3 linked regions of the Rattus norvegicus genome follow. The protein of the gene in region 2 purifies or fractionates together with the protein of the main gene of each other region. This does not show direct contact. Links are inferred from orthologs where the notes say so. Each region holds a gene or a part of one and is shown on either strand. Other genes may lie near its edges.

Region 1 (3,566 bases), on a different chromosome or scaffold from region 2:
GGCAGAACAGAATCTGAGAAATGTATCAGCACCAGCAGGGGAAGGCAAGACCAATGGGCTCACCTTCACTAAAGCCTCTCAGTGGGAGAAGCTCAGGTCACAGCATGAACTACCTTGTGGCACTGAGGGTGAAGGCCCCAGGCTGCCCCCACCTCTTTGTTGGAGAGGGTAGAGCAGCAGGACCTGATGAAGGAGGGACTCTCCATTATCTGGGCAGAGTTTACAACATCAGCAACATAGTCTCAAAGAGCTGAGGAATGAAAGGGAGGCTGGAAAGGGAAAAACAAGAAAGGTATTGATGCCTATGTGTATGGAAGGAAGGAAAGCAGGACAAAACAGTAAAGCATGTCTGTTTAGACTGCTATTTCATCTCTGTGAAATGTCCATGTCAGATGCATTCCTAAAGACAGAAGGCCTTAGAGATGGGATGGGGAAGGGACTAAAAACTACAGGGTTTTTTTTTTTGTTTTTGTTTTTTGGTTTTTTTTTTTTTTTAGGGTAACTTTAACCATACTTTGAAATGAATGTGGTATTGACTCTACAACTCCGTGGACCACAGCACAACCACGAACCAAGCACTCTGAATGGGTGAACTGCTAGGTTTGTTGATTATAGCCTCAATGCTGCTTTGTGGTAAAACCACTGGCAGGCTGGCCAGTTTGCTCAGCAGGTAAAGGTGATTGCCACCAAGCCTGACAACCTTGAGTTCCATCCCTAGGACCCACATCATGGAAGAAGAGGGTGCCCACTCCCATAAGTTATCCTCTGCCCCTCACAATGCATAAGCTTTCACATTAATGATAATAAAAAGACTTTTAAAACAGCAGCTGGAGTGCTGGCACACATGTATAATGCAAGTACTCAGGAAGCTCCAAATTCAAGGTCAGTCCGAACTAATACTGAGTACCAGACCAGCTAGGACTACATAGCAAGACCCTGTCTCAAAGATAAATAGGACTAAAGAGACAGATCAGTGGTTAAGAGCACAGGATGCTCTTCCAGAAGACCCAGGTTCAATTCTCAGCACCCAGTGAGGTTTACAACCATCTGTAACTACAATTGCAAAAGGATTGATGGTCTCGGTGGGCACCAGACATGCATGTGGAACAGACATACTTAGAGAAAAAAGACCCAAACACATAATTCAACAAATTCTGTGATTAAGCCCAGGAAAGGGTCTAAGGTAGTAGTCATAGTATTGAGGAAACTTTTCTGTGTTTGAAGTTTTACCAAAATAAAATCAGGAAAAGGAAGAGGAGCTTGACTCAACCACTGTTACTGCTGCTCCACTGTAACCCAGGGAGGCTTCTAAAATCTAACCTCCATCTCTTGGTGCTGACTAGCTACCAAGCATCCCCAATTGACTCACAGCCACCTGAAATTCAATATGCCAAAATGTTAAACTCATGTCTTTCCACCTTGCGTGGTAACATGCAAGAACAGGGAAGCCAAGACTATCCTCCCATGATCCATTTGTCCTCTCTCCCCTCTTACCTATCTGGACACTCCCCAGTGTGGAACTGAAATCTAGGGTACACTGGCGACTTATGTTCCTAGAGAGCCTGCTAAGCTTCACAACATTCCCAAACTAGCCTGCTTCCCAATTCCTTTCCTTCCAGGCCCTGCATTAGGGAGCTAAGATCCACCCAGCTGGCTCTGGATACTGATTTGTTTGTATGCTGATACAATCTCATGGAGTCCAGGCTGGCTTTGAACTTACTACATAGGGAGCATGAATTTGAACTCCTGATCCTCCGGCCTCTGTCACCCAAAGCTGGGATTATAGGCACACAGCACCACACCTGGCCTAGACACTGAGCACTAGATTTTCAGGCCAGCAGAGCGGGAGTTCAAGCCTCAAGAACACAAGCACCTCATCCAGGAAAATGAATAGGGCCAGACATGGAGATTCAAGGGGCTCCTAGTTCCCACTGAAAAAAACCAGGACACAATGGTCTTAGGAGGTCAGGAGGGAATCCACTATATGTCCCAGTCTAGGATCTAGCCATTTTGCTCCTTACTCCTGGACAAGCATTTGCTCACCATACCTCCATTTCTCAGTTCTTTGGGGCTGAAATGACAGACACATTCATAGCAGCCAGTACTCTTATTTTGTGTCTGGTAGTGTCTCACTAGACCCTTGGTAACCCCATTTTACTGGGGAAGAAATAGAGGCATAAAGAGAGCCGGAGTCCAAGGAAATGGGCAGGACCTTTGGGCCAAGACTCCCAAATCCCAAAGCTCTTAATCCCATGGGCCCACCTCGGCGAGTGATCTCTGCTTTCAGCAGTCCCTCCATGGCATCTGACTCAGCCAGGTCCAAAGGCAGGTCCCCGTCACTGTTGACAGCAGCGATGTTGGCCCCATGGCTCAGGAGGTACCTAGGGAAAAGGAAAGGTCAGAGCTGCCAGGCCTGGACCCAACACCTAGCCCAAGCCCTTCCCTTCAACCCTTGCCTCACCTAGCAATGTCCAGGTACCCACAGGAGGCAGCCACATGCAGAGGCGTCCAGCCCTCGTTGTCTGCCTGGTTCACAGTAGCACCCTGCTCCACCAGGAAGCGAACGACTTCCAGGTTCTCATCTATGCAGGCCTGAGGATGGGAACAAGCCCATCAGCTCGCATCTCACCCAGCCAGAGGCCCGACACGGAGACTTTTCTACAAAGGGACCCAGGGCCAGTGAGGAGTGTGGAAAGCAATGCAGATGGCTCCAATGTAAGTCCCAGGGGTCCTCCAGCCACCAGCAGCTTAAAATATCCTAGTTACTCCATGTTTGGGTCACCTGAGCATGAAGAATTCATAGAGACAAGAGGAGGCTCCAGAAGCCAGGATGAAAATGTAGACCTGGAAAAATAGGACTGCCATCCCTGCATGTTATTGCTGAACATATTCCTGAGATGGAGGAGCCCCAGAGCCCAGACATGGCCTCCCAAAAGACAGGGCGCCTTGATCAGACACGACCCAGCACAGGTAGTGGAAGAATGATCACCCAGCCCTGAGTTCCATTCATAGCACAGGAAAAAAAGATTATCACCACAAAAAGACACACATGCACCTCCTCCCAGAGACAAAGCTGAGGTCCAGGGGCATATTTCCCAAATTTTCCTGTGCGCAGGTCCCTCAGAACATCTTTTCCAAACAACCCACACCACACTACTCCCCCCTCCCGCCACACACACACACACACACACACACACACACACACTTCCTCACCCTTAGAACTGAAAGCTTGGGGAGAGGAAAGTCTCACCCTAGCCAGCACAATATCCAGAGAGCTGGTCCCCATCCCTGATGACACTGGCTAGACACTGGAACCACTGAGTCTAGGGAGGGGGTAGGGTCCCCACTCCTGGGCCCTCATGAAAATTAACCCCCTTCTTCAAGTTCAACCATCTGGAGAAAGAGAGAAGGAAGCTACGAGGGCCAAGAGCATGAAGTCATGGAAATTTAGGCTGCAAGAGGGGGGCCACACGTGCCCTGGGAACGGGATGAACTCTGGGCTTCACTCTGGGCTCAGTTTATTTCCACCCTGTTGTCATGGTGATGGGAGGGGGGGCAAGGAGGCA
Region 2 (4,208 bases):
CGAACCCAGGGCCTTGTGCTTCCTAGGTAAGCGCTCTACCACTGAGCTAAATCCCCAGCCCCAAAAAGCAATCTTTAATCGGCAGACAATGCTACATCTTTTTAGGTACAAGTTTTAAGTGTATATGCACTGTGAAATGGCCGAACAAACTGAATTCACACACCTATCTCCCAAGGCTGTCATAGTTATCATATTTGTCCTTAGAGCACAGCACAGGGGTTCTCTTCACATTCTTCAATACAATGACCACTAACTGTAGTACCTTGCTATGATAATCGTCTTCTGAAATTTATATTAACTATAATTACGTATCTTTTAATGTTCACTGTCATTTAGGACACACACAATATATATAACCAAGTCATTCTGTTCTGCTAGGCAACTTTTCAGAATAGCACCACTTGAATTTGAGTTAAATTAGAATGCAACATCATTGAAAACTAAGGTAGACCACCCGGCAGAGGAGGTACAAGCCGTAATTCCCAGTACTGGGGGAGGCAGAGTTTGAGGCAGCCTGTTCTACAGAGCAAGTTCCAGGAAAGCTAGAACTACACAAAGAAACCCTGTCTCAAAAAACTTTTTTTAAAGGACTGAAATGACTCACTAGAAAATCCAAGTCTTTGAAAATTATTTGAACAGGTTTAGATTTGGGGAGGGAGGGACTGGAGGTAAACAGTCTTCAACTGGATTAAGGAATAAGGGTGTAACAAAACTACTGATAAATTGTCCGTTCAACACAGGAAGAACAGAAAGGCTAGCAAACGCTGAAAAGTCACTTGTTTATACTGAGCTCCTTGAGTGAGAACTGCCTTATTTTTGATTCCTGGTGCCTGGCAGTGCAATCAATAAACACTTGATCTATTAGAAAAAAGAACAATGCATCTTGACAAGAATTACTAACCACGAAAGTGGGGGGGGGGGTAGTGGGTGGTGGCAACTGATGCTAGAACCAAATATTTAACGATGATATAGCTGAGGTTACTTTTCCCTTTTTCTCTACAACTCTCACTCTATTAGTTACATTAAGTATCTGTAACCATACAGAAGTACATTTGATTTAAGGGCTTCTAGATCGATTTAAAATGCATGCATCTGCTGTAAGGTATTTATGAAAAATTAAAAATATTAGTAAAATCCGATTCAAACAATTTAAATTTTAAATTATATGAAAACAGCGGTGGGCTTAAATTCCCCCTTCTCCGAAGAGTGACAAGATATAAAAATCTAAGATAACTATATTTCCCTAATAGAGTCAGCCATGCACTACAAGCATACTTTTTTTTTTTTTAAACAAATTTCTCACAGACCCAGCAAGATGTTCCTATCAATTAAAGACCACGAAGTCCCGAGTAGTGAGCTCAGCAAGCACCAGGGGGCCTCCCAGGAATAACTTGATACTCAAGGAAAAGGTAAATAAGAAAGAGTTCCTGGTAAAAGTTCTGCCTTTCTCAGCCTTAAGACTGCTGGCAAGCTTTAACATCTGGAGCAAATATAGAGGTTTTCTTTTTTTTTCTTTTTAAACAAAGAATAGATACTTCATACTTTAACTGAAGAAGTCACCCCTCTCCTCGCTCTTTGGTAAAATTCCAAACACAAACACAAAATGCTTCGCTGTAGTAAACACACGCATTCATTAGGAGGCTGACAAAGAGGACTCTTAATCATTCAAAAAGACAATTCATTTTTTACACACTCCCCAAACAATTAGTGACGACGCAAATTTTAGAGTAAAAGGCTTCTTTTGACCAAGGCCCGCCTTTAACTTTGAATAGTATCCCACAACGGACTAATACATGTAACCGCTGGCCTCTCCATCTCTTTTCTCCCTATGTTCCCACCAACACAAAACTGATCTATAAAAGCCTAAGAACCCGGAACTTTAAATGCTGCGAACACTTGTAAAATACCTTTTAAGCCCAAGAGGTTCTTTACAACAGACATTTACTAAGTTTGTGAAGAAATTAAACACGGCTCAAACATGTTTAAAAAAAAAAAAAGTAAGCCCCCCCAAACCAGCACATGTATCCGGGCGATTCATATTTCCAACGGACGTCTTTAACCTGATCCAAGATTTTTTACTATTTTTTGTACGCCAGAGAATAAATGGTAAGCTAGTCATCGTATCCTCTCCTTAATTCTTTCTAGAGCATCCAGTAAAATGCAAACGATCCGAGAGCCTTACTCGGAAGGACTTTTTTTGTAAAATTCACTACCGGAACGACAATCGGGGGCTGCCAAGGGCAACGCACAAAGAGAATTGAGAAATACACATTCCACGGACACACAAAGCCCAGAGGCAGGCATCCTCGCCCCTTCTCTGGAACAGTCAGCAGAGGCAAGCACAGCGGCCAAGCAGAGCACGGCCGCCTCTCCGGAAGGCTGTACCGGTCGATGGGCCTCGGGCCTCAGCCCGGCCTCCCCGCCCGCCCGCCAGCCCGCGCTCTGGGCCTCCTGGGGCACCCGACCCGCCCGCCCTCCTCCGGGAGCTCGGCTCGAGCGGGAAGGGCCCCGCGGCCGGGCTGAGAGGAGACCCGGCGCCGCACTCACCCTCCAGCAGGCGGGTGATGAGGCTGTCCACGTTCAGCTCCCCGTCCGCCATCTTGTAGGCACCAGACTCTCCTCCCCGCAGCGGGAACAAGGGCTTCTCCGCGGCGGCAGCGGCGGCGGCGGTGGTAGCTCGGCGTTCTCACCTACGAGTCACGCGGCGTTTCGACCCCGGCTCCAACTCCCCCCGGGCGCCGGCCCTCCCCCCACCCCCTCCCCGCCGAGCAGCGAGAGCGCGCGCACACGCCGGCGGCACCCACTAGAAATAAATAAATAAACAAGCGGGCCCCCACGAACCGGGCCGCGTCAGACCCCAGCCGCCACCGCCTCCTCCACCTCCTCCTCCTCCTCGGCACCGCCCAGCTCCGCAAGCTCGCGGGCGACGCGGACAGCCCCGCCCTCAGCGTCACTCCCTCCCCTCCGCCCTTGCCCAGCCTTGCCGAGCGGCGCGCGTGCGCGCCACGTCCCCCTCCAGCCTCTCCTGCTCCTCGTCCTCCCCTCCGCGGACGCTAACGCGCAGGTGCGACTCCCTCCCTCTCCAGGGCCACTGCGCCGAATAGTCGCCAGTACGCAGGCGCAGGGCGGAGCCAGCCTTGTTGTACAAAGTGAACGCAGAGCCCGCGTAGGCACGAATGACCTTCCTCTTTCCTGCTCCCTGGGGCCTGGTGGTTCCGCAGAATTAATGATTGCGTTCTTCCCGCCTAGCTTTTCTTTTCTTGGCTTCATTCACTGGTTTTCCAAACAATTGCTCGTATTTCCGCTAGCCCGGAAACGTGGGCTGCAGTTGCCCATGTTGGAAACCTAGGTGTGTTAGAGATAGACTTCTCTGCTGAAAAGATTGACATTGCAGATCAGAGGAACTTCATCGCGTCACCAGTGTGGCTGATTTCGCCAGGCGAGCCTTAGATGAAACAAGACTAAAAGTTGGCCTCAGTCAACAGCAATAAGATTTTACACGCTTCCGGTTTCTCTTTCTGTAGCCCGTTCATCATATCATACATCTCCGAACACTCAGGATACCACTATCTATAGTTCTTTTCTGCTCATTGATTTATTATATTGCTTAATCATCTTATCCTGTGATTTTAAACATTTCTCTCCTGCACTCGGTTCCTAGAGGATAAAAATCACATTTGCTGGGCATGAGACGCCTGTAATCCCTATAATTGGCAGGTGGAAGCAGAAGATCCAGAAGTCCAAGGTCATCTTCAGCTACATAATTGGTGTGTGTGTGTGTGTGTGTGTGTGTGTGTGTGTGTGTGTGTGTGTGTGTGTGTAAAAAGTTCCCATCTCAAGAAACCAACTCAATCTTTGAGTCTGCAGCACCCACCAAGTATTTATCTACTTTATACAAGTCAGGGAGAAATAGAAACTCAGGGACTTGGAAATGTTCGTGGCTCACCTTTCCTTCCAACACCTAATATTGCCATCAAAGGGCAGTAGGAAGAGTAACCACGAAAAAAGATCTAGGCAAAGATTCGAAGAGGTCAGGTCAAAGCCTTTACCTATTCTCAAATCTGTGCTTTTCCAAATCTCAGACTTGACGATGCTGAGTCCCTTGCTCACATACCGCTAATAGCTAACACTTACTGGGATCATGTGTCCTGGCATTATTTTAGATGTAATACACAATATTATCTCATTTAACCCTTACAGCAAGCCCT
Region 3 (3,566 bases), on a different chromosome or scaffold from region 2:
GCCTGGTTCCTTAGCTCTTCCCCAACTTTTTCAAAGTCAAGTCTTTGACATTTTCTTCATATACTTTTCATTTTTTATTTAAAGTCCTGCGTTGAAGTGTGGAGTTTCTAGGCAGTTTGTAAGCCTTTTGTCCTGCTGTCCTATAGTGACTTGGGTGCAACAGGGCTAATTTTCTGCTGGGTGTGGATTCTCATTGCTTGGACTTCTGATTGAATGGGAGGGCCTCTTCCACATGTCTATTTACCACACGTCTTTTTTATCTTTTAAGCAGTTTGCCAGGTACCTCTGCAGCACACCTACCTTGGGACCTGAATGTTCCATCCACTGGGGTTCCTGATCTCTAGTGAGCAGGGGATTAGTAAAGAAGGCCTTATGTGGGAGATGAAAAACAAGGCCTTCTAGGGAACCTTGGAGAATCTGATTCTTACAGAGCTGCCAGCTTTCTAGGAACAGGGTGGTGAATGTAATTTTGTATCTTTATTAAAAGCCAAACACTCTTCCTAAGGAGTTTAAGAGATTTTCAAAATAAAGGTGAGGCAAGAGTAGGGCCTCATTATGCAAGGATATAGAACCTTGAGAACCACCTGAGACAGTTCACCCACTGTTGGGTCATAGCAGGAAGCTCTTGAGACACTGAGGGAAGACAGCCCAGGTCAGAACAAAGAAGAGCTAGGGCTTCTTTTCCCTCTTGTTTGAAGACCTTTTTAAAGCTGCCTGGCTTGCATGGACCTTGTGTCCTGAACTGATTCAGGATTCAGTGGTGATAGATGATTAGTAAATAGTCAGGATCAATGTTTCCCCACCATTTTAAACCAAACAACCCTGAAATTCATTTTGAAGTCGAGTAGGAATTTAGTGTCTAGTAAGAACTGCAGGACATCCCCAGCACTTAGAAGGTAGAGGTACGTCACAGGAGATGATCCCTTGTCTCCTTTTGTCTGTGGCCTTCATGGAGATTAGCAGCTGGTTAACCAAAAGAAAAGAAAACATGACCTGAGTTCTTTGTGGTTACAGAAAGTTCCCTCAACTTCAAACTCCAGAGCAGGAGTGGGGAACCCTTGAGCGCTGTCCCTGCCCGTCCGGGTCATCGCATTATTGGGCCTTCACCACATATGATGGATTCTTCCTTTGTTCCCACTGGAAGACCTTATATCGTGCCTGTGAAAATGGCCTAGGTTGTAAGGCACCTAGGGTTCCTAATAAGGAGTCAATACTGAAGAAAAGGCACTGAGCACATTTTACTATGAGGAGACGAGGTCAACCATCCTCCCAATATCCACAGTTGTGGGAAACGCATCTTAATGTCTGTCCTGTCTCCCAGCTTCTTTGGCTACTGTGCCTTTGTGTTTACATGAGTGGGCATGTTAAGTACCTAGGTCCCATTTCCAGCAGAGGGCACTAGACATGCTCACTCTGTACTCATTGGTGCAGTTCTCTAAAGGCTGTCCTCTGCCTTGTCTGCTCACTGAGTGAGGGGCATTAGAGTCAGGCCTGTTAGTTCATGGTAGATACACAAAAGAGGTGTGCTTAGATCTGGGTTTCAATCCGCTGTTTTCAGAGGGGTGAGGCAATGTTCAAGATTTGTCAAATTGCATACATTTTTATTTGGGCTTCTGTTAGATTTATGTGAATATAAACTCCCTACTCTAGATTGCTTGTGTGTATCTTTACCTTGGGCCCATCCATCCCTTTTCCAGATATCTGTTGTATACCTGGAATTTCTACAGATCACTGTCTGAGGACACAGGGGCATTTCTCTCTGTGTGCAGATAGCCTCACAGCAGTGGATTTGCCCTCCCCTTAGCTTGTGAACATTTCCAGTGTTGAATGTCTCCTCTGTCCTCCAGTTCCAGGGTATTGGGTGGCAGCGGTTAACAAGGTCTGCTCGGTGCTTAGCATTTCTTGCCTGCATCTCTCCCCCATGTTCATCCCACAGGCATCAGACTGCAGAGCAGAGACTGCTGCCACCCCTCCTTTCTCTGTACCTCTTTGCTGCTCTTGCTACTGCCCTGGGTTATTAGGAAGTTCACCTTTAAAGCTGACTTTCTTTGTTTACACTCTAAATTTTTTTTTATCTTGTTTTATCTGGAGAATCACTCTTGTCTGACAGCCTCTTTACCCACGTTAAATAGTCCTTTTTAGCACATCTTTTCTGGCTTGTCTGAGGGGAAAACTGATTTGAATTGCAAGACTCTTATTATCTGTAGGAAATGCAGTGATTTTTGTTTAGACTTTTTCACCCTTGGGACTGCCTTGTTGCTGTGATGTGCAGGATGTAGAGGCCCTCTCTTTCCTGCCCACTCGGGCCTGGTCATCTCAGCTGCTCAGGAGGCCTGTGTCTTTGTTTCTCAGAGGCTAGTGCTGATAGAAGTATGACTGAAACCCCCAGTCAGAACCAGAGCAGCTCTGATTCTCTCTCTGCGACTGTAGAAGTGGCTTCCTATTCATGGCACTCACTCCTGTGCCAGCCTGGTTTGAAGTGGTGTCCCGTTTTCCTTGGCTTTACCTTCATTATTTTTGGTTCCTGGTTTCTTGGGAGTTTGAAGAGTGGGGAGTCCTGAGGGCAGGAAAGGGTCAGGTTTGCAACTTTGCTTCAGAAACCACAAGCTAACTTTCTCTTGAACTTTGGAACAATAAAAGCTTGTTTGGTGTTTGTCCAGTGAGTAGCTTTATTCAGGGCTGATGAGAGCCTGCCTGTCTCCTCTTCAGGCAGCTTCTCTCAGTTCCCTAGGGAAGGGCTCTGCTCAGGGCCTGGCTGTTTTCTCATCCACCACTTCAGCTGACTCATTCTTCCACCTGTGATTATGATCTTAAACAGCCAAGATAAAGGGATTGACTTCTGGAGATAGGATGATTGATTGTTAAATTTTTAACCCAGATACCTCGGGTTGTCCTAATTATCTTAGGAAGCTGTAACTGCCCAGCTCACCAAAATTACCACCAGCTGACTGGGGACAGGACCTTAGCATGAGGAAGTGAGCGCCATACCATGGGTCTTAGCCTTGGTACATTCTTGAAGTGTAACTCAAAGTTGGTGTCTTCATTAACCACAAGCTTAAGTTGTCAAGGCTATTTTGTGAGCACAGATCTAATCTTTCTTATCTAGGAAATGGTACACTTGAACATAAATTTGTCACTGAGTTTTAATTGGGCCAATGGGTTTTATTAGAGGGATAAGTTAGTGGACCTATCTTTGCCACCCATTTATCCTGTTGGTTTTTGTTTTTTTTTTTCTTTTACCTCAGAAGCCACCATCATGGGTTCAGGACCCATAGACCCCAAAGAACTTCTCAAGGGCCTAGATAGCTTCCTTACTCGGGATGGAGAAGTGAAGAGTGTGGATGGAATTGCCAAGATCTTCAGGTGAGTCTGTGCCCTCAGGTCTCTTACCGTAGAGGAGAGCACATGCAGTGAGACTGGGTCAGAGAGCAGTGATTTCCGGCCATGTTGGAAGCTGGGGATTTGATCCATAGTCCCAAGCGTCTTCATGGGGTGACACCAAGGGAGCATAGAAACCAACCCTTGGCTTGTTTTTGGGTCATGTTGTGCCTACCCAAAATGTCATT

The links. Proteins that work in one complex are often made in the same cells at the same time.
Region 1: the proteins of Ppp1cb (region 2) and Ppp1r12c purify together in Homo sapiens (affinity purification with mass spectrometry; 3 studies listed by BioGRID and IntAct, with this or other methods). This does not show direct contact. The link is inferred for Rattus norvegicus from reciprocal best matches to the Homo sapiens genes PPP1CB and PPP1R12C.
Region 3: the proteins of Ppp1cb (region 2) and Ppp1r10 purify together in Homo sapiens (affinity purification with mass spectrometry; 5 studies listed by BioGRID and IntAct, with this or other methods). This does not show direct contact. The link is inferred for Rattus norvegicus from reciprocal best matches to the Homo sapiens genes PPP1CB and PPP1R10.

The regions. Positions count from the first base shown.
Region 1 is NC_086019.1:78,365,919-78,369,484, reverse strand, and holds part of Ppp1r12c (protein phosphatase 1 regulatory subunit 12C), read right to left. Parts: intron 2,593-3,566; coding exon 2,462-2,592; intron 2,382-2,461; coding exon 2,263-2,381; intron 1-2,262. UniProt on the Homo sapiens protein: Regulates myosin phosphatase activity.
Region 2 is NC_086024.1:29,709,973-29,714,180, forward strand, and holds the start of Ppp1cb (serine/threonine-protein phosphatase PP1-beta catalytic subunit), read right to left. Parts: upstream 2,864-4,208; 5' UTR 2,600-2,863; coding exon 2,548-2,599; intron 1-2,547. UniProt on the Homo sapiens protein: Protein phosphatase that associates with over 200 regulatory proteins to form highly specific holoenzymes which dephosphorylate hundreds of biological targets.
Region 3 is NC_086038.1:2,835,862-2,839,427, reverse strand, and holds part of Ppp1r10 (serine/threonine-protein phosphatase 1 regulatory subunit 10), read left to right. Parts: intron 1-3,245; 5' UTR 3,246-3,256; coding exon 3,257-3,363; intron 3,364-3,566.